Linked DNA regions of Oryctolagus cuniculus. The protein of the gene in region 2 interacts with the protein of the main gene of each other region in a pairwise test. Links are inferred from orthologs where the notes say so. Each region holds a gene or a part of one and is shown on either strand. Other genes may lie near its edges. The genes, in order: EDARADD, NTAQ1, CBY2, LONRF1, BLMH, PNMA5 and GNMT.

The links.
Region 1: the proteins of NTAQ1 (region 2) and EDARADD interact in binary tests that used the Homo sapiens proteins (3 or more experiments, as listed by UniProt). The two-hybrid records come from large-scale screens. The link is inferred for Oryctolagus cuniculus from reciprocal best matches to the Homo sapiens genes NTAQ1 and EDARADD.
Region 3: the proteins of NTAQ1 (region 2) and CBY2 interact in binary tests that used the Homo sapiens proteins (3 or more experiments, as listed by UniProt). The two-hybrid records come from large-scale screens. The link is inferred for Oryctolagus cuniculus from reciprocal best matches to the Homo sapiens genes NTAQ1 and CBY2.
Region 4: the proteins of NTAQ1 (region 2) and LONRF1 interact in binary tests that used the Homo sapiens proteins (3 or more experiments, as listed by UniProt). The two-hybrid records come from large-scale screens. The link is inferred for Oryctolagus cuniculus from reciprocal best matches to the Homo sapiens genes NTAQ1 and LONRF1.
Region 5: the proteins of NTAQ1 (region 2) and BLMH interact in binary tests that used the Homo sapiens proteins (3 or more experiments, as listed by UniProt). The two-hybrid records come from large-scale screens. The link is inferred for Oryctolagus cuniculus from reciprocal best matches to the Homo sapiens genes NTAQ1 and BLMH.
Region 6: the proteins of NTAQ1 (region 2) and PNMA5 interact in binary tests that used the Homo sapiens proteins (3 or more experiments, as listed by UniProt). The two-hybrid records come from large-scale screens. The link is inferred for Oryctolagus cuniculus from reciprocal best matches to the Homo sapiens genes NTAQ1 and PNMA5.
Region 7: the proteins of NTAQ1 (region 2) and GNMT interact in binary tests that used the Homo sapiens proteins (3 or more experiments, as listed by UniProt). The two-hybrid records come from large-scale screens. The link is inferred for Oryctolagus cuniculus from reciprocal best matches to the Homo sapiens genes NTAQ1 and GNMT.

What each region holds. Positions count from the first base shown.
Region 1 is NC_091444.1:61,364,979-61,368,962, forward strand, and holds the start of EDARADD (ectodysplasin-A receptor-associated adapter protein), read right to left. Parts: upstream 2,801-3,984; 5' UTR 2,763-2,800; coding exon 2,703-2,762; intron 2,245-2,702; coding exon 2,160-2,244; intron 1-2,159. UniProt on the Homo sapiens protein: Adapter protein that interacts with EDAR DEATH domain and couples the receptor to EDA signaling pathway during morphogenesis of ectodermal organs. Mediates the activation of NF-kappa-B.
Region 2 is NC_091437.1:149,158,463-149,160,903, forward strand, and holds the end of NTAQ1 (protein N-terminal glutamine amidohydrolase), read left to right. Parts: intron 1-1,063; coding exon 1,064-1,173; 3' UTR 1,174-1,941; downstream 1,942-2,441. UniProt on the Homo sapiens protein: Mediates the side-chain deamidation of N-terminal glutamine residues to glutamate, an important step in N-end rule pathway of protein degradation.
Region 3 is NC_091440.1:64,764,256-64,768,402, forward strand, and holds the start of CBY2 (protein chibby homolog 2), read left to right. Parts: upstream 1-1,347; 5' UTR 1,348-1,448; coding exon 1,449-1,523; intron 1,524-1,801; coding exon 1,802-1,882; intron 1,883-2,890; exon of another isoform or gene 2,891-2,905; coding exon of another isoform or gene 2,906-3,019; intron 3,020-4,147.
Region 4 is NC_091433.1:78,025,142-78,028,641, reverse strand, and holds part of LONRF1 (LON peptidase N-terminal domain and RING finger protein 1), read right to left. Parts: intron 3,244-3,500; coding exon 3,091-3,243; intron 1,918-3,090; coding exon of another isoform or gene 1,834-1,917; exon of another isoform or gene 1-1,833.
Region 5 is NC_091448.1:45,698,746-45,702,953, forward strand, and holds the start of BLMH (bleomycin hydrolase), read right to left. Parts: upstream 2,801-4,208; 5' UTR 2,662-2,800; intron 1-2,661. UniProt on the Homo sapiens protein: The normal physiological role of BLM hydrolase is unknown, but it catalyzes the inactivation of the antitumor drug BLM (a glycopeptide) by hydrolyzing the carboxamide bond of its B-aminoalaninamide moiety thus protecting normal and malignant cells from BLM toxicity.
Region 6 is NC_091453.1:131,406,284-131,410,559, forward strand, and holds the start of PNMA5 (paraneoplastic antigen-like protein 5), read right to left. Parts: upstream 2,801-4,276; 5' UTR 2,673-2,800; intron 477-2,672; 5' UTR 335-476; intron 1-334.
Region 7 is NC_091436.1:127,046,987-127,051,211, forward strand, and holds GNMT (glycine N-methyltransferase), read right to left. Parts: upstream 2,801-4,225; 5' UTR 2,764-2,800; coding exon 2,558-2,763; intron 1,762-2,557; coding exon 1,634-1,761; intron 1,252-1,633; coding exon 1,135-1,251; intron 931-1,134; coding exon 788-930; intron 685-787; coding exon 563-684; intron 478-562; coding exon 306-477; 3' UTR 160-305; downstream 1-159. UniProt on the Homo sapiens protein: Catalyzes the methylation of glycine by using S-adenosylmethionine (AdoMet) to form N-methylglycine (sarcosine) with the concomitant production of S-adenosylhomocysteine (AdoHcy), a reaction regulated by the binding of 5-methyltetrahydrofolate.

The DNA.
Region 1 (3,984 bases), on a different chromosome or scaffold from region 2:
TCTTTCAGATGCCTGAATATGTTCTTCAACGTCATCTGCCAAGTGATGGGGAGGTCTCAACCTTAGGAGGTCTCCCTCATCTTTGTGGGACACTCAAATCTACCTCTGTCTAAAGAGTTCACCCAGAGCTGGCGCTGTAGTTCACTTGGTTAATCCTCCACCAGCGGCACCGGCATCCCATATGGGCGCCAGGTTCTAGTCCTGGTTGCTCTTCTTCCAGTCCAGCTCTCTGCTGTGGCCCGTGAAGGCAATGGAGGATGGCCCAGGTGCTTGGGCCCCTGCACCCGCATGGGAGACCAGGAGAAGTACCTGGCTCCTGGCTTCGGATCGGTGTAGCTCCGGCCATGGCGGCCATTTGGGGGATGAACCAACGGAAGGAAGACCTTTCTCTCTGTCTCTCTCTCTAACTCTGTCAAAAAAAAAAAAAAAAAAAAAAGAGTTCACCCACAGATTTCCATTCTGCCTTTTAAAGAGCTAGATTCTTTATATAGGACGCTCTCCTACCATCAAATCTTCTGTTCTCTCATCATTCCACAGATGCTGCTGGGATTTCAAAGTCCCTTTATTCCAGGTTATGCACTGGTTCCAAGCTGACCAGGCCAAGCAGGCTACAAGCACCATCACTGGAATCACAGACCCTGGAGTGCTGTTACTGACATCTGAGATTACGTTTGCCCACCTGGTGGCCATATCAAACGATCAACTCACTGGGGCTTTTCATATACCGATGCCACTGCCTAGCTGTGTTTCCTAGCTCCCTCCCACCTCCCCCTGCTTGCCGCAGCCCATCAGGGGCCCAAGCATATTTCACATTTATCCCCATTCAATGACTCTCTCTCAAGATCATTGTGAATCCCACCCCTCATCATCACTTAATGAAATCTGAGAGCACTATTAGTGAAATCTAGCCTAAAACACCTCTTGGCTCCTTGTCAATTCCTTTCTTAGAAGAGGAGGTAGATCCAGGGATGGAAGTGAGGATAGGGGAGTGGGAGAGGGTTTCCTCCTTTCCGTGCCCTTGTGTTTCTCCAAACAATGGGAGATGGGGGTATGGAGAGGGAAAGGACGTCCAGTCTAGGTATGGTCCATCTCCAGTTGATAAATGTTTATCATTCCCACTTGAAGATGAATTTCAATTTTTCTTTGATGGCTCCTGGAAACCCCCCTGGCCGTTCACCGTTCACAGCGCCAGTTTGGCTGTTGGTTTAATCTACTGAGCACCTCTGACACGTTCTATCTTCTCCTAACTGCTCAAGCCACAAAGCACCAAGGAAGGGTCAAGCTCTGCCCCCTGCCTAAGCTCAAGAAACACAATAGGGAACACATTCATCTCAGCAGTTTTTTCTGGCTCTCCCTAGCATTTCCAACCTCAGCAAAAGCAGACAAAGCACCAGTGTAATCTGGGGAATACATAATTCATTCACTTTTATGTTCAATAAAATTGTGGAGCTCACGGCCTAGGTTATGTGCCACCGGGGACAGAGAATTCCTGCAAGGTGAAGTATGAAGATTTCAATTCAAGTGAGAGATTAAAGAAAAATCTAAAGTCCGGCCTCAGGTACAAAACACTCAGTATTTTAAAATAAGGGTAAAACTAGAGCCTATTTTCTAAATCCAAGGCCTCCACACGAGCAGCAGAATTCTTCTGTGGGACCAGCCCCTAGGTTCTGTGAATATTAGTTTATAAAATAGCTCCAAGGACCACTATTTACAAAAGTGTTTAAAGAAAAAAGAATCGAGGAGAAAGAGCAGATAATGAGAAGGAATGTGAGTGAGGATTCACAGACAGCACTGTTACACTCCTTTCAGTTAGAGTTTTCTGGGGGCTTGTTTCAACCTGGCACCCTGGGCCCGGAACAGAAGCTGCTGGGGTCGCCACACAGCCAGAGGACAGCGTCAGGCACGCGTAGGGAAATCAGAAGCAGGGGCCATGGAGAGTGCTGGGGGCAACGGCTCCAACCAAAAGCCGCCCAGGGGGCCAGAGTAGGGGGTGCCACCGCTGCACCCAGCCCAGCCACTCGGGGCCCAGGTGGCCCCCGGGATACCCCTTGGGGTCACCGAGGCTCTGCCCCGACACCCCGCCGCATCCGTGGGTGCCTCGCGAGCTCCCGGCCAGTGGTCCCCGCTCCAGGTGGGTGCGCAGCGCGGTGTCACTTTACCTGCGCGCAGAGGGTCGTCCGGAGAAGCCATGGGGGCAGGATGGGGGCAGACGAGCGCCCGAGTCGGGCTGGGCGGCCTCCGGGACTGGGGAGGAGAGCGGGACCACAGTAAAATCCTGCTCTTCCAACGCGCTCCCAGCAAAGCTAGGCAGCTCTGCGCGCCCCTGCTCCACCTCCACCTCCTCCTCCTCCTCTACCTCCTCCTCCTTCTCCCCGTCTCCGTTTCCACCGCTTCTTCCTCGTGCTCACTTCCTGCTTTGCCAATTAGCAAAGCCCCTTCTCTGCGCGTCCCTCCCTCCAGAGGCGTGCGGCGGGGGCCGAGGCTCCAAGGCAGCAGGCTGGAGCGCAGAGAGAGCTCCCGCCCCCCGCCCCCGCTGGGGTCCAGGGCATCCCCTGTGCCCCTGGTGCACTTCCTGTCCCGCGCCCACGTTCCCCTGTGCGGGTCCCACCGCGGGGCTAAGACTATTGCAGCCACGGGACAGACGAAACGGCCGCCGCAGGTCGCCTTCCCGGCTCCCTAATCGCTCCCCAGCTGGGACTCACCTCACACAGGCCTGGGCCGAGATGCCTGCCGGCGATCTGATATTTAAACAATTTCCTCATCTTTAGACAGACTGTGCCGCTGCATGATGGCACACGCTAATACTTTCTATTTGGATTGTTCTTTGGCATTAGTTATTACATGACCTCCAGGGTGAATGCTACACAAAGCAGACTTGAGGCGCACACTCATAGCCTCTCTAGAAAACACTGCTTCAGGTTCTCTGGGAAATGCTCAACTGGTCCTCTAAAAATATAACTTGTTTGATTCAAATGGGATTTTATACCACTTCCTTAAGTGAGCATTGATTGCAATAATTTATTAAGAATATATTTAATATTGCTACATTTTAACTAAACATTTAATTAAAACTTAATTTATTATTGGAATGTTACAGGCAATTTAAATTTACTAGGAATCTCTAAAGAGTTTTAAATCATTGATACCTTCATACCTAAGAACTCAATCACAAAAATTGGTTTGAAAGAGTTAAGAATAGTAGTTAGTGTACAATATTATCAGTCAGTTACCGTACGGAAGTAACCTCTAGCTGAACACTGAGCCCTGAAAGATTCAGGAGAGTGGCAAGTGTCTACATACCCTCTTGGTGACCAGCAGGTTGCTTTGTGCCTCTCCCCATCTGTTTAGTCGTCCTGAGGCCCATGGCACATTGAAGACTGCCGTCTTATTCTCTGGAATTTTCCATGGAAGAAATACGTTCAAGAGAAGAGGGTGCTCACTGTATGCTGAACCACAGCAAAAACTTGAAGACGAAAGCTCTTGCAAATTTGTGGGTGGGAGGATAAACTTCCTCTTGGTCTACCTTCTGATAGGAAGGGAATTTTTTTAAGGGTATTTTCTCATAGAATCCATTTTGAGGTTTGGTTTGTGGTTCTTTCTGTACTTTACATGCAGATGGAATTGTTTGTGAGGTTGGCTGTCAGGAACCACAAGTCAAGTTAGGCTCTCTCTTTCTCAGCAGCACAACCTCAAGTGTCACTCTAATGAGGGTTTGCTTTACAAAACTCTGAACTGTAATTCATCCTCTTATCATGCCTATCTTTCACTATATCAAATAGAAGCTGGGTGGTAGAAATGCATTTTAAGGTTAATTTTTTCAGAAAGAAGACTGATGAGGTACATGTTTTTCCCTTTCATTCCATTTTTTTGTGCCTCCTTCCCTATGAATCAAAATCTCTTCATCATTATCTTTTTTTTCCTGTGTGCTTTGTGATATATAAAGTATAATGCAAATGGAAGCTATGATATTTTGAAATTTACAAA
Region 2 (2,441 bases):
CTGATACGTCTTTTTTTTTTTTTTTTTTTTTTTTTTTACAATTTATTTATTTGAAAGGCAAAGTTACAGAGGCAGAGAGAGAGAGGTCTTCCATCCACTGGTTTGGTCCCTAGATGGCCATAACAAATGGAACTGCGCCAATCCAGAGCCAGGAGCTTCTTCTAGGTCTCCCACACCGGTGCAGGGGCCCAGGTGCTTGGGTTATCCTCCACTGCTTTCCCAGGCCATAGCAGAGAGCTGGGTTGGAAGTGAAGCATCCAGGACTTGAACTAGTGCCTATATGGGATACCAGCACTGCAGGCAGCGGCTTTACCTGCTACACCACAGCACCAGCCCCCTGACATGTCTTTTAAAAGTCTCATTAACTTTTTTACTTGTAATTTGAAGAAACTGGGTCTGAGAGAAACAGTCTGGCTTTGCTGATTATATCTCGGCATGTTCTTTGAATTTCCTGTACATTGGCCATTGAAACCACTAAATTGGCTGTTTGATTATTCATGTACTTTTTCACTTTTATTTTGAAATAATTTTGGTTTCTAGGTAATTTGCTGAAACAGGACAGAGTTTCTGTGTAGTTTTCACTTAGGTTCCCTTAGTGTTAAGTCTTACATAATAGCAATACAGTTACTTGAACCAGGAAAATGATACAATGGCACAAAAACAGTGATATATTATTATGACACAGTACTATTAACTTCTTTAGGTTTTGTTTTTTTCTCTAATTTGCTTGTTCTGGTCCAGAATCTAACCCCATGATATTATGGTTACCTTTTCATGTCTTTCCAGTTCCCTCTGATCTGTGCTAGTTTTTTTCTCCCTATGTTTCTTTTACAGCCTTTATGCTTTTGAAGCCTGTTATTTTGTAGGGTGTCCCTCGCTTTGGGTTTGTGTGACGTTTTGTCGTGATGAGGTAGAGGTTGTGCCAAAGGCCAGCATACCGCAGAAGTGACATTGAACCCTTACCCACTTGAACAGTTTCCCTCCTGTGGTGTTTGGAGTTGTTTTGTTGCTGTTAAACCCAAATCGTGTTTTCAGTAGACATTTCTTTCATGTATTTTTCTAGATTCCAAAATGAACCTGAATGATTTCATCAGTATGGACCCTAAGGTGGGATGGGGCGCTGTCTACACGCTATCCGAATTTGCACATCGGTTTGGCAGTAAAAGCTGCTGAGCTCGACATCAGGACGTGGAACTGTGGAAAAATTTAGGACCTGAACAAGCCATCCCTTCACTTAGGACAATGAACATTATGGTACAGTTGGCCTGGAATTATGTTTTTCCTCCCTTAATTCAATTGAGTGGAAACACGAATGAACACAAGTATAAACACACTAAGTAAAAAAAAAATTTTTTTTTTTTTTGCTGTGTCAAGTTGAAACTTGATTTAGCGTGTAAGCTAAGAAATTCCTGTGGCTCACTTGTAAGGTGTATGATGACTTCCGCCAGTGATTGCTCCTGTTGGGTGTGGACTGAGCCCTGGGTCCTCCTGTGTGTTCTGGATGTCTGCAGTGTCTCTCCAGCTGCACTGGAAGCTCCTGGGGGCAGAGCCGCGGCGCCTTGCTCTGGGAAGCTCTGATGCTCGTGTGAGGTGCCCATGAAACATTTTCTTGTGACCGTGCTGCTGTTTTTAAAAGGGATAATGTTGTGAGCTGAGTCAGCAATAAATATTAGTCTTCCTGGGCTGTGATGTTTAGAAGATCGCAGTCCTCTCTTACTTGGCCTGTTTATTTATGGTTTTGAATAAAATTGATTGAGAATTATTTTTGTTTTGAAGATTTTTGTGTCATTGTTGATGATCTGAGACACCCAACAGTGTGTCAGTCATAGATGAGAACCAGTGCTTTAAAATTCATTTATCTCCTCTGCCTTTGTGAGGGTGTCTTGGAAATCTGGCTTTAATCATGTCATTCCAAATAAAAGATATTTGACATTAACCTGGCATATTGTACCAGCTCTCATTCATGTTTGTGTGGTTCCATTGTGAAAACGAATGACTTCCTACAGCAAGGATGACTAAGCTTTTGTTCTTAGATGAGTCTTGGCCTTATTAAGACACTCGGGTTTGATGTGAGTCATCTGCTTTGTGCTGTGGAGGGTAAGACTTAGACATTTACTGAAGCATCCAATAGTCTAAGGGAATGTGACTGAGCGCATTGGTTCAGATGACCAGGAAGATTCTGGGAGAAAGCCAGGGAGCTTTTGGTAGGAAGAATATAGATACCACCTCTTAAGTTGTTTTATAACAGAGCTAAATATGGAGCCCACCCTGAGATCTCTTCATGGAGTTTCAGAGGGCTTATCAAGTTCATGGCTAAAGTAAAGAAGATAAATTTTGGCAGGCAGTGCTGCAAAAAGACTTTGTCCTGAGCAGAAACGTTTCAGGGAGATCAAAGGACCATAAACTCATTTACAAGTGGCTCTTTTGAGTTTTTCTTGCCA
Region 3 (4,147 bases), on a different chromosome or scaffold from region 2:
GCTTCGCTGATCCAAAGCCAGGAGCCAGGTGCTTCTCCTGGTCTCCCATGGGGTGCAGGGCCCAAGCACTTGGGCCATCCTCCACTGCACTCCTGGGCCACAGCAGAGAGCTGGACTGTAAGAGAAGCAACCGGGACAGAACTGGCGCCCCAACGGGGACTAGAACCCGGTGTGCCGGCGCCGCAGGTGGAGGACTAGCCAAGTGATCCACGGCGCCGGCCGCATGTTAGGTCTTAAAGCAAAGCTTTCTTGTAAATTTGGGTGTGGGGGACTCAAAAAGGTGGTTCTGGCTGGTGTCTCAGGATCTGCTGCCTCTGGTCCGTCATTCCCTTCTTACTGCACGTAGGGTTGGGGTGTGCCACTGGCTTACGGTACAAGAAAAGGCTCCCATGAACAGCCTCTAGTGGTGAATGATTTGCCCGAAGTGAGGCCAGGGCATGGGGCATTGTGGTCTTGATGCTGTTACCTCCGTGGTATAATAAGAAAATAAACTCTGCTTTTGTCCTTGATTCCTGGCACAGAGCTCCTAAAATCCTTGGCATTTCCTCTGTGTCTTTTGTTATTCATAATGAGCCCCTTTGGAACACACCTGAGTTTCAGCTAATGAGGCAACCCTTGAAGGCTGGGGGCTGCCGCCAGAAAAACTGACCATGTGATTAAAAAGAGGAAACTCTCATCACCACCCCCCAACCCCTACCTCTAGGAAGGGGGGAGGGGCTGGAGATTTAAACAACCACGCCTGTGTAATGAAACCTCAACAGTGGGGTTCAGAGAGTTTCCTGGTGGGAGGACACGTGGACGTGCTGGGAGAGTGGCTGCCCAGGGCTGGCACGGCCACTCCACACCACCCTCAATGCCCAATACCTTCCCTGTGCATCCCGTCTATTTGGTGTTCCTGAGTTGTGCCCCTTATAAGAAAATGGTCATCATAAGTAAAGTGTTTTCTTGAGTTCTGTGAGCCATTCTTGCAAATTATTGAAGCCAAAGAAGGGGTCATGGAACTCCTGGTTTATAGCTGATCAGTCAATGGTACAAGTGGCATCTGAGGTGAAGGCAGCTTGGTGGGACTGAGCACCTAACCTCTGGGATCTGGCACTCGCTCCAGGTCGATGGTTTCAGGGCGTCCACTGGTGACAGCCCTGGGGAATCAAGTGGTGCCACAAAGCTCCTGAGTCCCTCTTTCCTCCTTTGGTCTGGGAATTCAGTTGGTATTTCTTCTTGAGCAATACAACTACAAGTAGATAATGCCCCTTCTGGAGAGAGGACGGCCTGGCAGTGGGGATGACCAATCAGGGCCTGGTGTTTGGGGTATTGTGTGTCACACTGACCCTACTTAGCCACGTGGTCACAGATGCTGCAAAACTCTTCCTACCTGCCAGATGCTTCGTTCCCACCTGTGACGCTCAGAGAGAAACCATGAGCCCTGCAGAACACCATATTGTTTTGTGATGTCACCTCTGGAATGTTCTGAGTGTTTTGGTGACCAACTTCTGCACAGGACCTATACCTGGCACCTCACATTGGTATGGCTTTTTGCTTGGGAGGGAAACAGTAGTCTTACACAAGGATGTAGATATTAGCAATCAGTGCTTCAAAGACATCAGCTATAGTATCTGTATGAATTTGTTTAATAAAATATCAGAGATTGTCCACACACATTTGCAGATGCAGATTTTCATAATGTACCTAATTGACAAGAAGCAAATAAATGAGTAGAAAGTCCTATAATTGTCAGATGAGCAATGGAGGCCCAGAGGGTGGGTTGGGCAACAGAAATTTTCCTCTTTTCTCTTTTCTACAGCACTCGAGGCCAAATTTTACAAGAAAACGAGATACCAGATCTGAAAGCCTAGAAATCCCAATCAATGTGGTTCTGCCTCAGGTAGGATTAATCACAGAAGGATGAAATCTGCCCGTTTAAGGCAGAATAACACTCCTCTTCCAAAACTCCAGCCTGATGTGGAGTAAGCTGAAGAGTCAAGGCCTCCGATTCTAGTTGTGCATTTGACCACCCACCCATTCTGTGCCTGGGGGAGGAAACATGGCCTCTGTGGGCCTTGGGTTCCTCTTCTCTCATACGAGGAGTGTGAATTAGATGACCTGGCCACCCTAACATTTCAAGTTTCTATGCTAGACTGAAAACAAAAAAAAACAAAAAACAATCAAATATTCATCCTCAAAGGGAGATCTTTGGTGCTTGGTGATGTATTAGCACTCTGGATTTCTAGGGGGACAAGTAGACCTGGGGCTTGGGGTCAAATGCTTACGAATGAGTCCATGAGGAGAAAACCTAGCACATTGACTGGATGCTAAGGTATCATTTGGAGATGTCAATAGAATTAAGCCCTGCTGTGTACCAAAGAGAGAGCATAAAGGATACGTGCATGGTTTTGTTTGTTTTGCTTGTTTGTTTTTTTAGGACAATGTGTAGGTGCAGTTCTGACAGGCTGGATTTTTTTTTTTTTTTTTTTTTTTTTTTTTTTTTTTTTTTTTTTACAGGCAGAGTGGACAGTGAGAGAGACAGAGAGAAAGGTCTTCCTTTGCCGTTGGTTCACTCTCCAATGGCCGCCGTGGCTGGCGCGCTGTGGCCAGCGCACCGCGCTGATCCGATGGCAGGAGCCAGGTGCTTCTCCTGGTCTCCTGTGGGGTGCAGGGAGCCAAGCACTTGGGCCATCCTCCACTGCACTCCCGGGCCACAGCAGAGAGCTGGCCTGGAAGAGGGGCAACCGGGACAGAATCCAGCACCCCTACCAGGACTAGAACTTGGTGTGCCGGCGCCGCGAGGCGGAGGATTAGCCTAGTGAGCTGCGGCACCAGCCAACAGGCTGGAGATTCTAAGGTCTTCTCCTGCAAGTGGCTGTTTCCTTGGTGGGGTTCTCTTGATTGGATTGTTTCTACTGCTGTTATGTCACAAAGGGCATGGCCTTGCTTCTCCCAGAGTCACTCAAGGCCCCTTTGGAAGACCATGGGCATGCAGTCAGAGGGGTTGAAATGTAGAATGGAGAGATCCAATGCAGAGGTAACTATCTGACAGCTCTGTCCAGAGTCATGTAGGAGGGTGGGTCACCAGTGGGCATTCTATGTATGTGACTGAACAATCTAGGCATGTATGTTCAGCAGGAGGCACAAATAGAGGACAAGAAAATATTCTGGATGTTTGTTTTCACATTATCCTTAAAACTCTGCAAGTAACAGACACTTTCTATCTGTTTCAGCTCATGAGACTTAGCCAGAATATAGCATTGCTGATCATTTGACAGGATGATGATAAGCTACAGGAACCTTTCTAGGTCCAATTCTTTCTGTTGTATACAGGGAATTCCATTGGACACTATTCCTTTTGATGGTCGGTGTTGCTCCTTTGATTCTTCATAGCCTGTGTAATTCAATCTTTCCATTGTTAAAGGATGGGTAGAAGATGCCAATCCAGGGTGGGGTGGAGGTGACAGTGAGGGTGGGAATAGGATTTAAATAAGTGATGGTCACATGATAGAAAGATTGGAGAGATTCTTCTATCTATATCCAGCACAACTTCCCCTATCCACTCCCAGAAACATCCTAGCAATCAAGGAGGAGAAAAGGAGGCTTGAGACTATGTCCCTGGCTTGTCCTGGGGCCACCCACTTTCTGTGCTATAGGACCTGGTACAGCTGTTGGGCAGTTGGAAGACAGGGTGGGTGTACAGTGAGGAAAATGTTCAGCAATTATCTGGGCACATGTACCCCATGTGGACAGATGTGGCCTCAGGGGTACACATGACAAAGAAGCACAACCAGGAAGCAGGTTGAAGGCACCTTCCAGGATACTGTAGACTAGTCATCTGCAGGAAGGAAGTGGGCAAACCACCACTAGTGCTGTGAGAAAGATGATGTGTTTGCTAACTCTCCCAACATGAGATGGTGCACACAATTGGAGGTAAGCATTGGCAGAGGAGAAAAGAGGGGGAGAAGTGTTGACTGAATATTGATCTATTGATCATATCATGTTTTGAGCACAAAGACACGCAAATGTAAGATTTTCTAGGTATGGGAACCAGGAATTCCTAGAGCCCTTCAGGTAATAGTAGGGTTGGAGTCAGGATCTTGAACCAGGTCAATATCCATACTCACTTGGCTGCACCAGGTCACCTCTTAGCTCTATAAGTCTT
Region 4 (3,500 bases), on a different chromosome or scaffold from region 2:
TCCCTTAACAATCATGTAAGGTAGGCTATTATTCTGCTCATACACACTGAAGACACTTAGAAATGTAATACAAATTGCCCAAGATCTCTAGACTCCTGTGTGCAGAGTCAAGATTCAAAGCCAGACCCGACTCCACAGACAACACCCTTTCCCCTGTACAGTACTGCCTCAAAGCAGGGCTTCCTGAGCTCAGGCTACTGACACAGATAATCCCTTGGTGGTGTGGGGCTGTCCTGTGCACTGTGGCACACTCAGTAGCATCTCTGACCACTACCCACTAGATGCAAGGAGCACCTCTCCAGGTGTGCTAGCCAAAAATTTCTCTAGAGAGTGCCAAATGTCCTGTGGTGTAAAAGCACCCTTAGTTAAGAACTGTCTTCTTAAAATATGTATTTAAAGCATTAAAAAAGTTAATTGATACTTTAAAATTTCTTCAAAGAATTATAAAATCCTAAAGAAAAATACAAAAAAAAGGGGTGTCTCTGTTTCTTTTACTTTGAAAATAAACATACCTCTAGCAATAGGGTCCCTCTGATGGTACAGGGACTGACTACTGGATACAGAAAGAACTATAGCTCTTGGTCAGTCATTTTGCAGAATCAAGATGCAGTCAGGAAAGCTAAGGCAGTAGTTCCACAGTCCAGAAATGAAGGGTTTAATGAAGGGTGCAGAACTAGGAAATCTACATAAGCAAATTTATAAGCCATCCTACTACATATTGAAGTGCTTTTCATTGGCCCTGAAAAATGGAGCTTCAGAATGACAAATAAAGCTATGCTGGCACTGATCTAAATAAGCTTCCCTTAGGACCAGATTTTATTTCTACATAGTATATTATCTGTTCTCAATTCATTCTGTATTGCAGTAGTGTCAGAAACAACATTTCCCAGAGTTCCCTACCCTGTATGGTTCCAAGTTAGACTTGACCAACATGAGGCACTCTTGTGAGAGCCAGAAATTGGAAGAGAAGCTATTCTCCAGAGACTTTGCAAAGCATGGACAGCAGTTTTCCAGAGAATTCTTGAAAACCACCTGCAGCAAGGCTGCAGACTGATACACTGGTGGAAACTCCCCAGGATCTCTAAAACCATAGCAGCTCCCCGGCAAGCTCTCGAGAACCGTCAGACAGAGACGGAATATCAGACAGAGGTCTGTGCACAGACTCCTGGACCCTGCTGGAGACAACATCACCTGCACCCACCCAGCTCTTCCAGTGTGTATGAACTGTGCACCCTTCATTAAACATTTTGTTCCTGGACTGTGGAATGACTGCCTTAGTGTTCCTGACTGAATCTTGATTTATAGAGGATGACTGACAGGGAGCAATGGTAGACAGCTGGGTGATAAAAGACGAGGGTGGTGAAGGTCATGGGAAAGTAATGCTGGCTTTTTCTAGAAGCTATTTTTAATGCTTAAAATTTACTCATTCAATTTCGTTCTTGTCAGAGCCTATTTTTGTCATGTTTAATCAGCACCAGGTAGCCAGAATAAAACAAATGTGTGGCGACTGATAATACGCTAGATACAGAATGAGCACTGTACTCAATATGGAGATGGTCTTATGCTGAAATTTCAAGTTTAAGTGAAGGATTCAACTGGGATTCAGCCAGATTTTAAACAACTTTGGCAATCAGAATGAGAGACAGTATGGTTCACAATGAGATCTATTATCTCTCCATTTTCATCTACCTACTTGAAGCTATTCCTTTACGAAATCTATCACTTTCTGATCACAAACACTATGCGAGTCAGGATGCTCAGGTCTGAAAGTGAGTGCTTTGATGAGTCTATAACCAGAGTTCCCAGCACAGCAGCCCTTCTTTCATGCCTTCTTCACTGCCTTCTACACAGATCTGCTTGTACAGAAAGTGCTTGATACACGGTAATTAAATTAAGCTCAATGTAAACTCCAAGTATCTGTGAAAGACCATTAAAAAAAAAGTTTCAGGAGGAGTGAAGTATTAAATATGAAGACACAGAAAATGGATTGAGAGGCTATGGAGTAGAATATTGGTAATAAAATGAGACATGAAAAAAATACACCTGTTTTAAAACTGTATTTATTTGAGAGGCACAGACACAGAGAGAGTTTCCTTACGCTGGGACACTCCCCAAGTGGCTGAAACAGCTGAGGTGGGGAGGAGCCAGAGCTGAGAGTCAGAAACTCAACCCAGGTATTCCACATAAATGGCAGGAAGCCAACTGCTTGAGCTACCACTGCTGCCGCCTAAGGGACATGGGTAGGAAGCTGGAGTCAAGAACCACAGCCTTGTATGTAACTGAGGTATTCTAATGTGGAACACAGGCATCTGAACCACTGAACACCCACTCCCAGAGACAAATGACTTTTTTGTGTATGCAAGATGATATATCTCTCAACTGTTAAAGAATAACAGCAACAGCTGACTGGCTCCAAGGTGTGAAGGTATGGTTTTCTCACAGTCACAGCTGACTAGATGGTTATGTCCCACTATAAATTCCTTATTGTTCCTTCCAGAAAATGGTCAGTTAAGGACTTTCTCCCCATGCAGCGCTGCCTCCCACAGGTATCTGAGCTGACATCTGTTTCCTAGCTATGTGAAATGTAATGGACATCACCATTCTGGAGAATAAGGCCATGATCCTGAAGGCAGGAAGCCAATGGAAATGCTGCACAAAAAGGCAAATGCGCGGTAGCATTTGGCCTACAGTTAAGATGCCACTTGGGACATCCACTCCCATACTGGAGTGTCTGGGTCTGAGTCCTGGCTCTACTCCCAATCCCAGCTGCCTGCTGATGGACACCCTGGAAGCAGCTGGTGACGGCTAAAGTATTTGGGTTGCTACCACCCAGGTGGGAGATCCAGATTACATTCCCATATCCTGACTTTGGTTTGGCCCAGCCCTAGCTGCTGCAGTCATTTAGGGTGGGAAGCAGTAGGTGGGAGAATTCTTTCTTATTGTGTGTGTGTGCGTGTGTATCTATCTATCTATCTATCTATCTCTCAAAATAAATACTTTTAAAGGCAATTGGAAGTTAAATTTAAAAATCTACTAATCTGGGCTTACAAAAAAGAGAGACCTTTGGAAGCAATATCAAAGTCATCTTACCTGAAGGTTTTCCTCCCTCTCAGGCATTGATCCAAAGTGCTGAAGAATTTGGCTTCGAAATCTGTCTCTTAAATTCTGAAACCAGCTGCAGGCTTGAGAGTACACCAAATCATGAAGCTCTCTGAGGTTCTTTATTTCATCTTCATTTTCAACCTGGAAAGAAAATAGGCAATGAGACTTCTGTGTCTAATTTCCCCCGTCCATATCACTAATCCTATAGAAATGCCAACAAGTCTCAGAAGAACTGGGAGGCTCTTTTTCCACGCAGAATTATTACAGTATGTTCTTACACTATAATAGCACATATTTCTGCTTCACATAGATAATGTGCCAAACTGAAGAAACATGGCATGGCCTGACCTCCACAAGCCTTGCTAACTTAGCAGTGTAATACTGTAGAATCCTACTTA
Region 5 (4,208 bases), on a different chromosome or scaffold from region 2:
ATTTTATGTTATGAGAAAAATAGCACTAAATTATAGAAGTTTTTAATTTTGTGTGAAGGCTTCAGAATTGTATTCCTATCATAAAAGTCAATTTTTCTAGACATTGCTGTGGTAGGAGTGTAGAATAAATGATCGGCCGGCGCCGCGGCTCACTAGGCTAATCCTCCACCTGCGGCGCTGGCACCCGGGGTTCTAGTCCCGGTCGGGGCACCGGATTCTGTCCCGGTTGCCCCTCTTCCAGGCCAGCTCTCTGCTGTGGCCTGGGGGTGCAGTGGAGGATGGCCCAAGTGTTTGGGCCCTGCACCCGCATGGGAGACCAGGAGAAGCACCTGGCTCCTGGCTTCGGATCAGCACAGTGTGCCGGCCGCAGCACACCAGCCATGGTGGCCATTGGAGGGTGAACCAACGGCAAAGGAAGACCTTTCTCTCTGTGTCTCTCTCTCACTGTCCACTCTGCCTGTCAAAAAAAAAAAAAAAAGAAAGAAAGAAAGAATAAATGATAAGGAGAGAGATCTTCTATCCATTGGCTTACTCCCCGAATGCCTGCAACATTTGGGGTGAGAAATGCTTTATACAGGGGCCAGTATTGTGGCACAGCGGGTGAAGACACCACCTGCAATGCTGGCATCCCATGTGAGCTCCAGTTCATAACCCAGATGCTCCACTTCCAATCCAGCTCCCTGCTAATAGCTTGGGAAAAGCAGTGGAAGATTGTCAAAGTGTTTGTGTTCTTATCACCCACATGGAAGACCCAGATAAAGCTCCTGGCTCTTACCTTCGGCCTGGTCCAGCCCTGGCTATTGAGACCATCTGGGGAGTGAACCAGCAGATGGAAGATCCCTCACTCTCTGTAACTCTGACTTCCAAAATAAATAAATAAATATTTTTTCAAAAAAAAAAAAAAAAAGAAATGTTACATATGTAGGAGGTGAGAGATGAGGTTGAAAAGAAGGTTACCAGCTAGCAAAGCATGTTGAAAGTCATGCATCCTTTATTTATAGGGCTACTAGAATACCTACAGGCAGTGAGACAAATGAAAGAGAATTGTATTCAACGGATGTTGTCCAAAAGCAATACACTGGGATTCTTGGCCGGCGCCGTGGCTCAATAGGCTAATCCTCCACCTTGCGGCGCCGGCACACCGGGTTCTAGTCCCGGTCAGGGCGCCGGATTCTGTCCCGGTTGCCCCTCTTCCAGGCCAGCTCTCTGCTATGGCCAGGGAGTGCAGTGGAGGATGGCCCAGGTGCTTGGGCCCTGCACCCCATGGGAGACCAGGAAAAGCACCTGGCTCCTGGCTCCTGCCATCGGATCAGCGCGGTGCGCCGGCTGCAGCGGCGGCCATTGGAGGGTGAACCAACGGCAAAGGAAGACCTTTCTCTCTGTGTCTCTCTCTCACTGTCCACTCTGCCTGTCAAAAAAAAAAAAAAAAAAAAAAAAAAAAAGTTCAAAAGCAATACACTGGGATTCTATTTCTCCCCAATCGCTCTCCCTTCCCTGCATCTGATTCATTCACTCAACTGCTTTCTGAACACCCACCGTCTGGCAGCAAGTGAACTAGACACTTGAGACACAAAGACCAGTAAGATGTACTCCCTGACTTCAAGGAGCTCCAATCTAGTGCAGAAAATAAGCAACAAAATTCATCATTTAAAAAAAAATAAGATGAAAATATTGATTGGGGAGCCAGCACTGTGGCATAGCGGTAACGCTGCCACTGCCTGTGATGCCAGCATTCCATGTGGGCACCAGTTTGTGTCCTGGCTGCTCCACTTCCCATCCAGCTCCATGCTGGTGGCCTGAGAAGGGTGCAGGAGGATGGCCCTAGTGTTTGGGCCCCTGTCTCTCATGTGGGGGACCTGGATGAGGTTCCTGGCTCTTGGCTCCAGCTTGGCTCGGCCCCCGCTGTTGCAGACATCTGGGGAGTGAATCAACAGACCGAGGATCTCTCTCTCTCTCCCTCTCTCTCTCTCTGTGACTCTGACCTTCAAATACACAGACAATTTAAAAAATTACTGATTAAGCTATACTGGGTAGAGAAATACACAGGGAAAATAGGGAGGCGACGTCCTCCACATTCTGGTGCTTACATCCTAGTGGACCCAAACAATAAACAAATATATTAGTGGCCTACAGGAAATAAAACAGGTTCACGTGACAGTGACTGGCCAGGGGTAGTGGTCACTGGAAAAGCCATTGAGAAGAGGGGACTGTTTGGGCTGAGAGTGAGTTCAGTAAGGAGCCAGCCTGAGGCGAATGCAGTTAAGACGCCCTGCGTTCCAGGTCAGAGTCCCTGGGTTTGATTCCTACCTCTGGCTCCTGACACCAGCTTTCTGCTAATGCAGACCGTGGGATGCAGCAGGTAATGGCCCATGGCCAGGTCACCCACTTGGGAGACCTGGATTGAGTTCCCAGCTTCAGATTCTGGTGCCTGGCTTTGGCTTGGCCAAGTCCCAGTCGTCGTAGGCATTTGGCAGGGCGGAAGAGCAGATAGGATCTGTGTGTGTGTGTGTGTGTGTGTGTGTCTGCCTCTCAAGTAAAAAAGCGTTAATTTTTTTTTGAAGAGAGAAAAGACCCAGGCTCGCAAGGGTCTATGAGAGAAAGCATCCAGAAGGAAAAGCGTGTGTCAGGCCTTAACAGAAACACACAGCACGCAGCACTCACCAGGGAGGTACAGGATCAGCTTCTCCCCAGCTCCAGGATCAGCCTCCCATGGCGGAAGCGGCAACCTCCGGCTCTCCTCATGCTTTGTTTTTTAAGTCCGGTGGGAAAACGTCTGACTTTTTCTCTGTCTCTCCTAAGAGTACGAACAACTTTCCTGGGACCTCTCAGCCTCTCTCTCTCTCTCTCTCTCTCTGAATTTTGTTGTCCAAAATGAGGTCATGAGACTTTTCTTGTTCCGGTCATTGGCAAGGGGAATGTAATTACTCTCATGCCAATCAGGCCTTCCCCGGGGGTGGGGGTGGGGGTGGGGGGCGCCGGCCAGTGCCCCAGCCTGCACTGCTGCTTCGCAGTCCTGCAGGGGAGGAGCGGGAACTGAGAGTTAGCCTTGCTGTTTGCTGCACCGTAGCAAGAGTTCAAATTTTATTCTAAGTATGACAGGAAGGCATTGTAGGGTTTTAAGGGATGAAAGGGCATGATTCAATTTCTGTTTTTAAAGGATACCTTGCAGGTATCTGTGACATATTTAATTTATTTTTTAAGATTTTATTTATTTATTTATTTGAAAGTCAGAGTTACACAGAAAGAGGAGAGGCAGAGAAAGAGAGAGAGAGAGAGAGAGAGAGAGAGAGAGGTCTTCCATCGCTGGTTCACTCTCCAGATGGCTGCAACAGCCGGAGCTGCGCCAATCCAAAACCAGGAGCCAGAGGCTTCTTCTGAGTCTCCCACATGGGTTCAGGGGCCCAAGGACTTGGGCCATCTTGCACTCCTTTTCCAGGCCATAACAGAGAGCTGGATTGGAAGTGGAGCAGCTGGGTCTCAAACTGGTGCCCATATGGGATGCCAGCGCTTCAGGACAGAGCATTAACCTGTTGCACCACAGCGCCGGCCCAATGACACATTTAATTTAAAGATATATTTTACAAATGCCTAAATATTCATAGGAAAGAGATGAACAACATAATATAAAAAGGAACAGAAAACTAAACAGATATCTCACAAAAAAGAAGCATGAACGGCAAATAAATAATAATGATGGAAATGCAAATTAAAGTTGAATTAAGGGGCCAGTGTTGTGGCGAAGTAGGTGAAGCTGCTACCTGACTCGCCAGCATCCTATATGGGCACCAGTTTGTGTCCTGGAGGTTCCACTTCCTATCCAGCTCCCCACTAATGGCCCAGGAAATGCAGCAAAGGATGGCTTAAGAGTTTGGGTCCCTGACACTCATGGGGGAGACCTAGATGATGCTTCTGGCTCCAGCCTGGCACAGCCCAAGCTCTTGCAGCCATCTGGGGAGTGACCAATGGATGGACAATCTCTCTCTCTCTCCCTTTCTCTCTCCTTCTCTCTCTATAACTCTGACTTTCAAATGAATAAACGCATCTTTCTAAAAAATAAAATAGGGTTGGCGGTGTGGCAGAGTGAGTAAAGCCACCACCTGTGATGCCAGCATCCCATGTGGGCAGTGGTTCAAGACCAACTGCACCACTTCTGATCCAGTTCCCTGCTGGCGCAGCTGGAAAAGCAGCAGAAGATGGCTGTCTGTCTC
Region 6 (4,276 bases), on a different chromosome or scaffold from region 2:
CTTGAAGAGCAACAGGTGATGTCACTATCCTCCAGCCAATGGAAATGTCCTAGCAGCAAGGGAGCTGGGAGAGTGAAGGGGAGATGGGGGTGAGGTGAGCAGCAAGGACTGAGTGCTGAAAAAACAAGTGCTTAAGGTTTCATATTGTGTAGCAGCTAGAATTAGGGGCAGAAAAGGGACCCAACGAAGGGTTCCCACTGTCCCGCTGCAGGAAACAGACAACTGTCACCCTAGGTGTGGCCCTACCCTGCAGAGTGTGTGGATCCTGGAAGGCAGCCTTTGTCCCCTTGTCCTTTGCCAGGGTCACAGAGGCTCACCTTCCAAAATAACTTACTTGACGACTTGGCAGTGTGGATTCCACTGGCCGTGTAGAGTTTGTGATTCTGATGTAATCAGGCACTCAGCTTGCTCTCCAGCTCTGTCCTGTCAGGCAGTTCCCGAACCAGGTTAGATGGATCAGGATCCCTTCACTGGATCTGTCCAAAGCAAGGCAGAGGTATTTCACTGTGGTTACGTCCCAAATGCCCTGCTCAGGATGTGCCAATTTTGAATCTGCTCACGAATACAAGAAACTGCTGCTCCACCCCCAGGGAAAAATCCCACCCACCAAGCCCCAAATCCCACCTCCACTCAAGCCACACCCCCAAGGCCAAGCTCTGCATCCACCTAAGCCTCACGCCTGCCATGTAACTGCGTCCACGCAAGCCCCACTCCTTGCACCAAACTCTGCGTCCACGCAAGCCCCACCCCTGCCGTCTAACTCTGCGTCCACGTAAGCCCCACCTCTGGTGCCAAACTCTGCGTCCACGCAAGCCCCACCCCTGCCGTCAAACTCTGCGTCCACGCAAGTTCCATCTCTGGTGCAACACTCTACGTCCATGCAAGTCCCACCTCTGCCGTCAAACTCTGCGTCCACGCAAGCCCCACCCCGGCGCAACACTCTGTGTCCACGCAAGCCCCACCCCTGCCGTCAAACTCTGCGTCCACGCAAGTCCCACCCCGGCGCAACACTCTGCGTCCACGCAAGCCCCACCCCTGCCGTCTAACTCTGCGTCCACGTAAGCCCCACCTCTGGCGCCAAACTCTGCGTCCACGCAAGTCCCACCCCGGCGCAACACTCTGCGTCCATGCAAGCCCCACCCCTGCCGTCTAACTCTGCGTCCACGTAAGCCCCACCTCTGGCGCCAAACTCTGCGTCCACACAAGTCCCACCCCGGCGCAACACTCTGCGTCCATGCAAGCTCCATCTCTGGTGCAACACTCTACGTCCATGCAAGTCCCACCTCTGCCGTCAAACTCTGCGTCCACGCAAGCCCCACCTCTGCCGTCTAATCTGCGTCCACGCAAGCCCCACCCCTGCCGTCTAATCTGCGTCCACGCAAGCCCCACCCCTGCCGTCAAACTCTGCGTCCACGCAAGTTCCATCTCTGGTGCAACACTCTACGTCCATGCAAGTCCCACCTCTGCCGTCAAACTCTGCGTCCACGCAAGCCCCACCCCGGCGCAACACTCTGCGTCCACACAAGCTCCACCCCTGCCGTCAAACTCTGCGTCCACGCAAGCCCCACCTCTGGCGCCAAACTCTGCGTCCACGCAAGTCCCACCCCGGCGCAACACTCTGCGTCCACGCAAGCCCCACCCCTGCCGTCAAACTCTGCGTCCACGCAAGTCCCACCCCGGCGCAACACTCTGCGTCCACGCAAGCCCCACCCCTGCCGTCTAACTCTGCGTCCACGTAAGCCCCACCTCTGGTGCCAAACTCTGCGTCCACGCAAGCCCCACCCCTGCCGTCAAACTCTGCGTCCACGCAAGTTCCATCTCTGGTGCAACACTCTACGTCCATGCAAGTCCCACCTCTGCCGTCAAACTCTGCGTCCACGCAAGCCCCACCCCGGCGCAACACTCTGCGTCCACGCAAGCCCCACCCCTGCCGTCAAACTCTGCGTCCACGCAAGTCCCACCCCGGCGCAACACTCTGCGTCCACGCAAGCCCCACCCCTGCCGTCTAACTCTGCGTCCACGTAAGCCCCACCTCTGGCGCCAAACTCTGCGTCCACGCAAGCGCCATTCCTGGCGCCAAAAGCCAACCTCTGAAGATCCACTGAACCGGCAAACTGCGTCTTGCGCAAGCGCCATTTCTGGCGCCAAAAGCCACTTTCACCAAGAGCCACTGAACCGCCAAACTCTGTGTCCATCCGAGTGTCATACACTCCGCCATTCATGTGCACGTCCTGCACCCACCCAAGTTCCTCACTTCCATTTCCCTGTACTCCTTTCCCCCACCTCATTATCTTTAACCTCCTGTACCCATCAGGCTGTCCCATTCACTCCTAACCTCACACACCCTTTCCACTACTCTGAGCAGGGACACATCTAGTCAGCAGAGGTAGCTAGAGGCTAGAACAGGAATGGCCAAAGCCACTTTCCCTCAAGGATAAGGGCCAGAACCAGTTGTCCTTACTGCTACGTCTGGGCAGGTTTGGGGTAGAATGGGCCCTCCTAAAGTTCTGAGGCCACTCATGATAACTGGAAATATCAGGGACCCCTAGGATTCTGCTTCCAGGGGAATCTAAGGCCACTGGCCCCTGGGACCTCATGGAGGTCAACCAGGATCATTGGAGGGAATCTGTTGTAACCTTGGTTCCCTTTTGTGCCCAAACCCAGCTCCTTACCTTCTGGGAATGCCTCCAGGCCACAGCGCCCGTGCAGCGTGGCCACTCTGCCGCCGCCACTGTACGGAATGAGCCGCGAGTTTGTGGCGGGAAAGAAATTGTCGGGTAAGCAACGGTCTTCAGCACCGCCCACTCGCAGATGCATCCCGGCAACGTCTACGGCCACGCCCACCCCCATCTCCACCTCCACCCCACTCCTGCAATAAAGGGGTTGTGCCCTGTCCACCGCACGTTTCTCCTCTGAGTCATGACTGGAGGGGGAACAGAGAATTCAAACCATACTGAGAACTGTTGCGTTGCAGAGTTGCTCACAGTCCAGCTTGTACGTGCTCAATAGAGGCCGACAGGACCACCACCTGTCACATCAGTCCCAGCAACCATTGCGGCTACTATGATAGGTGTCTCTCACCCATTGGACTGGGACTGGCTCTGACTTTCACCAGTGGCTCCTCCTGTTTGTGTATTCCAAGCTATGCACACAGGGCTATGTGCAAAGTATAGGTCCAGGTGCAAACTACAAGCTCGGTACCTACTAACTAACCAAACGTCTCTGTCCTTGTTAATTTTTATCCACTGTGTCCTAGGGGACGGCAAAAAATAAAAAATACAGCTACTACCTTCATTTTACAAATGCATGCAATTTTCAAGGCTCATTGAGATACAGGAAACTATCAAGATTTCATTCTCTCATTATTCTCGTGATTGCATGAGAATTACCCACGAGGTACCGAAACTTCTCTCTTTTCTTTCCCAAAGCAGGTTTCTTCCACAGAGGGAAGACTTAGCTGTTTTCCTTGGGGCTACTGGGGACCCTAAAGTCCTGTCCCAGCAAAGGGCACTGGTGGGACACTGGTAGCAGTTTACAAAGTGCACACACATTTCCCAGAGCAGGTGATAGTAGCGGTTCAAGTTGTGAGTCAGGAGGTCTTGGCAGAGCTCAGAGTCTGCAAAAGTACCAAAACTCTAGCGGCTATTGCAGTTCCCTGCCCATGCTTTGTGTAGCACTGCTCTGAGATTACCAGAGCCAGAAGTTGTAAGCTGACAGAACGTAAGTTTTGCTGTATTTGGTACGAATAACAGGCCTTTTTTAAAATCATATTTTAATGAAAATGTGAAAAGCAGAAAACTTTTAAAACTAAATGTCACCAAGTAAGATACATACAAATATTGCATTATTCTCCTTTAATTGAAAATTTTTCCTAGGTGAGACATGACACTGTAACCCAGACCCCTATACTGCGTACTTAACAAGAACATACTTTGGACTATCTCTTAAATTAATTTCCTTCTCCTTACTGGAGAAAATGATTACTTGGCGCTGCCACGTGGTCACAGACCAGACGGCTCTCCTTACAGCAGTCCACAGCACCCTCTGGATGACACCACCAGCTGCCCAGTCTCATACAGGCTGTGAGCAGAGCTGTCCTGAGCACCTCTGTACTTCATTCTACTTCTCACTGCTAGACTTGGCTCCTCCCTAGTCTTTCCTTAAAAACAAAAAGTTGCTGAGGGATGAGGAGGAGATCATGGTGCATTTTACCTGAACCCTGTAAACCCGGACCACCCAGAAGGTTAAGAAACCCCTCAGCCTTTTGTGTTGTGGC
Region 7 (4,225 bases), on a different chromosome or scaffold from region 2:
GCTCACCAGGCATCTCCTGCCCCAGGCCAGCTGCTCAGGAGAGCTGGGGATTGGGCCCTCACAGTGGCTGAAAATAAAGTGTATGCCGCCCCCTGCTGGTGTTGTGGCAGGACTGTTTGGTGTGGAGAAGAGCAACATAGAAACACAAAGCCTGCAGGATCCGACAAGGCACAGGCTGTATTGCTTACTCTACCTTTGGCCTGAACCCACACCCCCAGCACCTGCAGGGACAGAGGGGCTGGGCGTGGGGCTGCCGGGCCCCCCTCCCCAGGTCGGGCAGGAGGCTGTGGGAGCTGCGGCCGCACTCAGGCTGTCCTCTTGAGCACGTGGATGAAGTAGCAGGGAACGTAGGCCTGGCCCGGCTGGTAAGGCTTGAAGTCGCCCAGGACGCTGTGCTGGCACTTGCCCTCGAAGGCTGCTCGCAGCAACTCCGTGAAGGGTGCCAGACAGTGTGGGTAGTAGGAGAGCCGGAACTTACTGCAACAGAGCCCCAGCCAGCCGTGAGGCCTGCTGGCCCCGGCTCCCCTCATGGCCACCTCACCTCCGCCAAGCCCAGTGTTACCTCAAGCTCGGAGGGCCGTCCTGGCCAGCCGCCGGCACCTGCACCGTGTAGTCCAGGGTCACCATGTGGGCTTTGTTGTTCACTGTCAGCACTGACGTCGTGACGTCCTTGGTCAGGTCACTCTGGGCAGTGGTACAGGCTGTGTGAGCCTCTGTCACCCACCGTGGGGCCCTGGAGCCCAGGCTCACACCGTGCACTGCGGCCCCTCCCTCCTGGGGGGCTCACCTTGTAGTAGATGTTCTTCCCGGGGGGCGCACAGCCCGTGCTGAGGATGTGGTCGTAGTTGCGGTGGTCGATGACCAGCAGGCCCCCGGTGCGCACCATGCTTGCAATGTTCTTCAGCGCCTGCCGGTGCTCGCTCTGGTCCCCTGAGCTCCAGGCAGAGGCTCGGTCAGCTCAGGGCCCCTAGCGCCAGCCTCCCCCCATCCGTCTCCTCCCCAGGGGCTCCAGCACTGCGGCACAGGAGGGCAGAGAGCAGAGTGTGCTTTGGCAGGAGGGCAGGCTCCCAGGGGTCTGTGGAAAGGGGTGGGGTTCAAGGCAAGGCTCTGCCTGCCCGAGACCACACCTCTCACCTTTGCAGTCTGGCAGGTGGGCAAAACTGTTTCCAAGGCAGATGACCGCATCAAAGCCACCCCCTGCTGGCTGGGGTACGTCTTTATCCAGAGTCATCCAGTTGGCTTCTTCTATGACTATGGGGCCAGGCGGGAGAAGAGGAAGCAGGGTAACCTCGTGGCATGACTAGCACCCCTCCACCAAGTGCAGTCCTGCCTGTTTGTTCTTTAAGATGCACACCCACCTGCATGCGTGCGCAATCCTATCCAGTTAGGAGGGGGTCTTGATGGACATGGAGGGGTCAAGAGAGGTGGGGGCTGTGTGTGTGTGTTCATTTGGGGGGAGGGCCAGTTAAAGCTCTCACACTCACTGCCCCATTCTGGTACCCAAGCCTTCCTCCTCAGAGAGATGACCGTTTTGCTGTCCCCTTGAGGAGAACCAGCTGTCCCCCTGCCCAGCCCTGGCACCCAGGGCAGAGAGGACGGCGTCTCTGGGCTGCGCCCAGCCGGAACTGCATACCCCATTTGTCGAAGGCAGGCTCGTGCCGCCGGTTCCAGCGCTCTTTAAGCGCATACTTCAGCATCTTGTCACTGGCATCCACACTCGTCACACTGAAGCCCTCCTCCACCAGCATGATGGAGTCCACCCTGCACAGGGTCGGAGAGGGGCAGTCAGGGGCCTGGGAAGACAAGGAGGCCCCTGGCAAGTGGAGCCCCTCTGTCCCAACTCCAGAGGCCCAGGCTTCCTCTGCCTTCTCACTGCCCTCAGATGACCTGGCAAATCTGCAGCTGATCACCAGGGGGCGCCTCTTAACGAGCACCTTTGCAGAGCCAGGCAATGTGCAAACTGCATTAATCCTCCCAGGGACTCTGGGGCAGGTGTGTGAGCTGCCTTTGAGAAAGGGACAACTTGCAGTTCCTGGAGTTAAGTTATAGCCCCAGAAGCAGGACAGCGCAGTGGCGCGACCCTAACCAACCTGGGGTGGTGTCTCCTCCGCACCAGGTGGGGCCTTGACTGACTTTGAGCCCTCACTTCCCCAGGAGTGAGTGCGGATTAGCACTACTCACCCCCATGGGGTTTTGTGAGGGTTTGAAAAACAGCAGGAACACAAGTTCCTGGTGCAGCGCTTGGCATGTACGCACGCTGAGCAATTGTTAACGCTGCCCAAGGTCAGGGCTGGAGGGGCCAGGTGGGAGCCAGGATCAGGGCTGGCCCCAAAGTCCGGCTCCTGCTCTGCGCCCTGATCGCTCTCATTGCGGCCCAGGCCCAGGCCCGCGCACCCTCACCCCCGCTCTCCCTCCGCCCTCGCCCGGACACTCGCCGCACCCCTTCTTCCCCCGGAGGCGGCGGCGGCGCTCCTGGGCCCTGGCTCCTGCCTGCCATGTGGTTTGGCGGCCGGGCCAAGCCGACCCCTGGTCGCCCCCCTACCCCGCTCGGGCTCACCCGGTGCCGCAGGCCACGTCGAGCACCCGCCGGCAGCCGTGCTGCCGCAGCAGCCCGAGCAGCCACGTCTTGTACTCGGAGGTACGGCTGCGGGTGTCCCCGATGTAGAGCTGCCACACGCGCGCCGCCTCCCCGTCCGCGTACTGGTCCGGGAGGCCTTCGGCCGCCACCCCCAGAGAGCGGGTCCGGTACACGCTGTCCACCATCCTGACCGCGCCTGGGCCCCGCAACCTCGGCTTCGGCACTTATAGCTCGGCCGCGGCGGTCGACCCGGCAGCCTCACCTGGCCAATGGCAGGTGAGCGCGGGGACACGCCCCTCCTGGACTCGTGGCCGCGAGCCCGCTGCTGCCGGGACTTCGGGCAAGGCGCTGCCCGGCAGTTCAGCACCCAGCCCTTTGGACAAGCCCACGTGGGAAGGAACCTGCTGCCCACTCGGCCCGCACCTGCAGGACGGCCCCGGGAGGCACAGGGCCCTCTCCACGCCTGCTCCGGTTGGGAAAAAGGGAAGAGCACTTCAAAACCCACACCGAGCTGAGCGGGGTGAGGGGCGGGGGCGGGGAGCGGCAGGACTGGACCGCGCGGCGAGGCGATGGGCGTACAGGAGGAAGGCCCGGCAGCCAGGAAAGCCCGGGCACGAGGCGTCCTGGGGATGGTGCCGCTCCGTTTCCCACAGTCAGGGACAGAGCCCTGACTGGAGGAAGAAGCATCCCTGCCCACCTGGAGCAGGTGTGTCGCTGTTGTGTAGGCGACAGACACTTCAGGATTCCCCCTGAGCCTGCTAAGGCTGAGTGTGGTTCCTACCCCCCGCCCACCCGCTTCTAACATCTGGTCCACTGGGCACTAAAGACCATCTGCTTCCCTCCAGGCGCCCACAGGGTCACACATACAGGGGCAGGAGTGAGCATGCTCGGTGCCCTTGCTATTTTATTGTTCCCATCTGTCGTGGGAAGTGACCATTTGAGGCCTGTGTGGCAGGCAGCGAGAATTCACCAGAGCGGAGAGTGAGCAGAGTTAGATTTACTAAAATACACTGCGAGGGAGCCAGGGCCACGCAGGCCAGCTGGAAGCTGACAACCGCTGCAAATGTGGATCCTAACCTGGGGACACAGACCTGGGCTGACTGTCGCTGGCCAGGACATGTTCCATGACCCCGTTGCTGGGGTCTTCGAGGGGCCCGGGAGACCCTCACACTGTCTCTTTGTAAGTTGGGCATTTGAGAGTGGGCATCTGGCCTGGCTGTTAAGACTCCACTCAGGGACACCCACATCCCATATCGAAGTGCCGAGATTCAAGTCCTGGCTCCACTTCCTGTTCCAGCTTCTTAACAGTGCTGACCCAAGGAGGCAGCAGGTGACCATGTGGGAGATGGGAACTGAGTTCCAGGCTCCTGGATTCGGCCTGCTCCAGCCCTGGCTGTTGTGGGGATGTGGGGAGTGAACCAGTGGATGGGGCTCTCTCTGTTAGCCTGTATGTCTCTCTGTCTCTTGTCTCTCTGCCTTTCAAATGAAATAAACAAATTAGTCATTTGGTTTGCTTAGTGCATGTCTACCCTTACTGCCCGGAGCAGTAAGTTTTCCAAATTTCTCTCCCAAGGACAAGACCCTGACTAAGGTGGATTTAGGAAAGTGCCACTGAGACCATGATGTGGATGCCGCCTCCACCCGCAC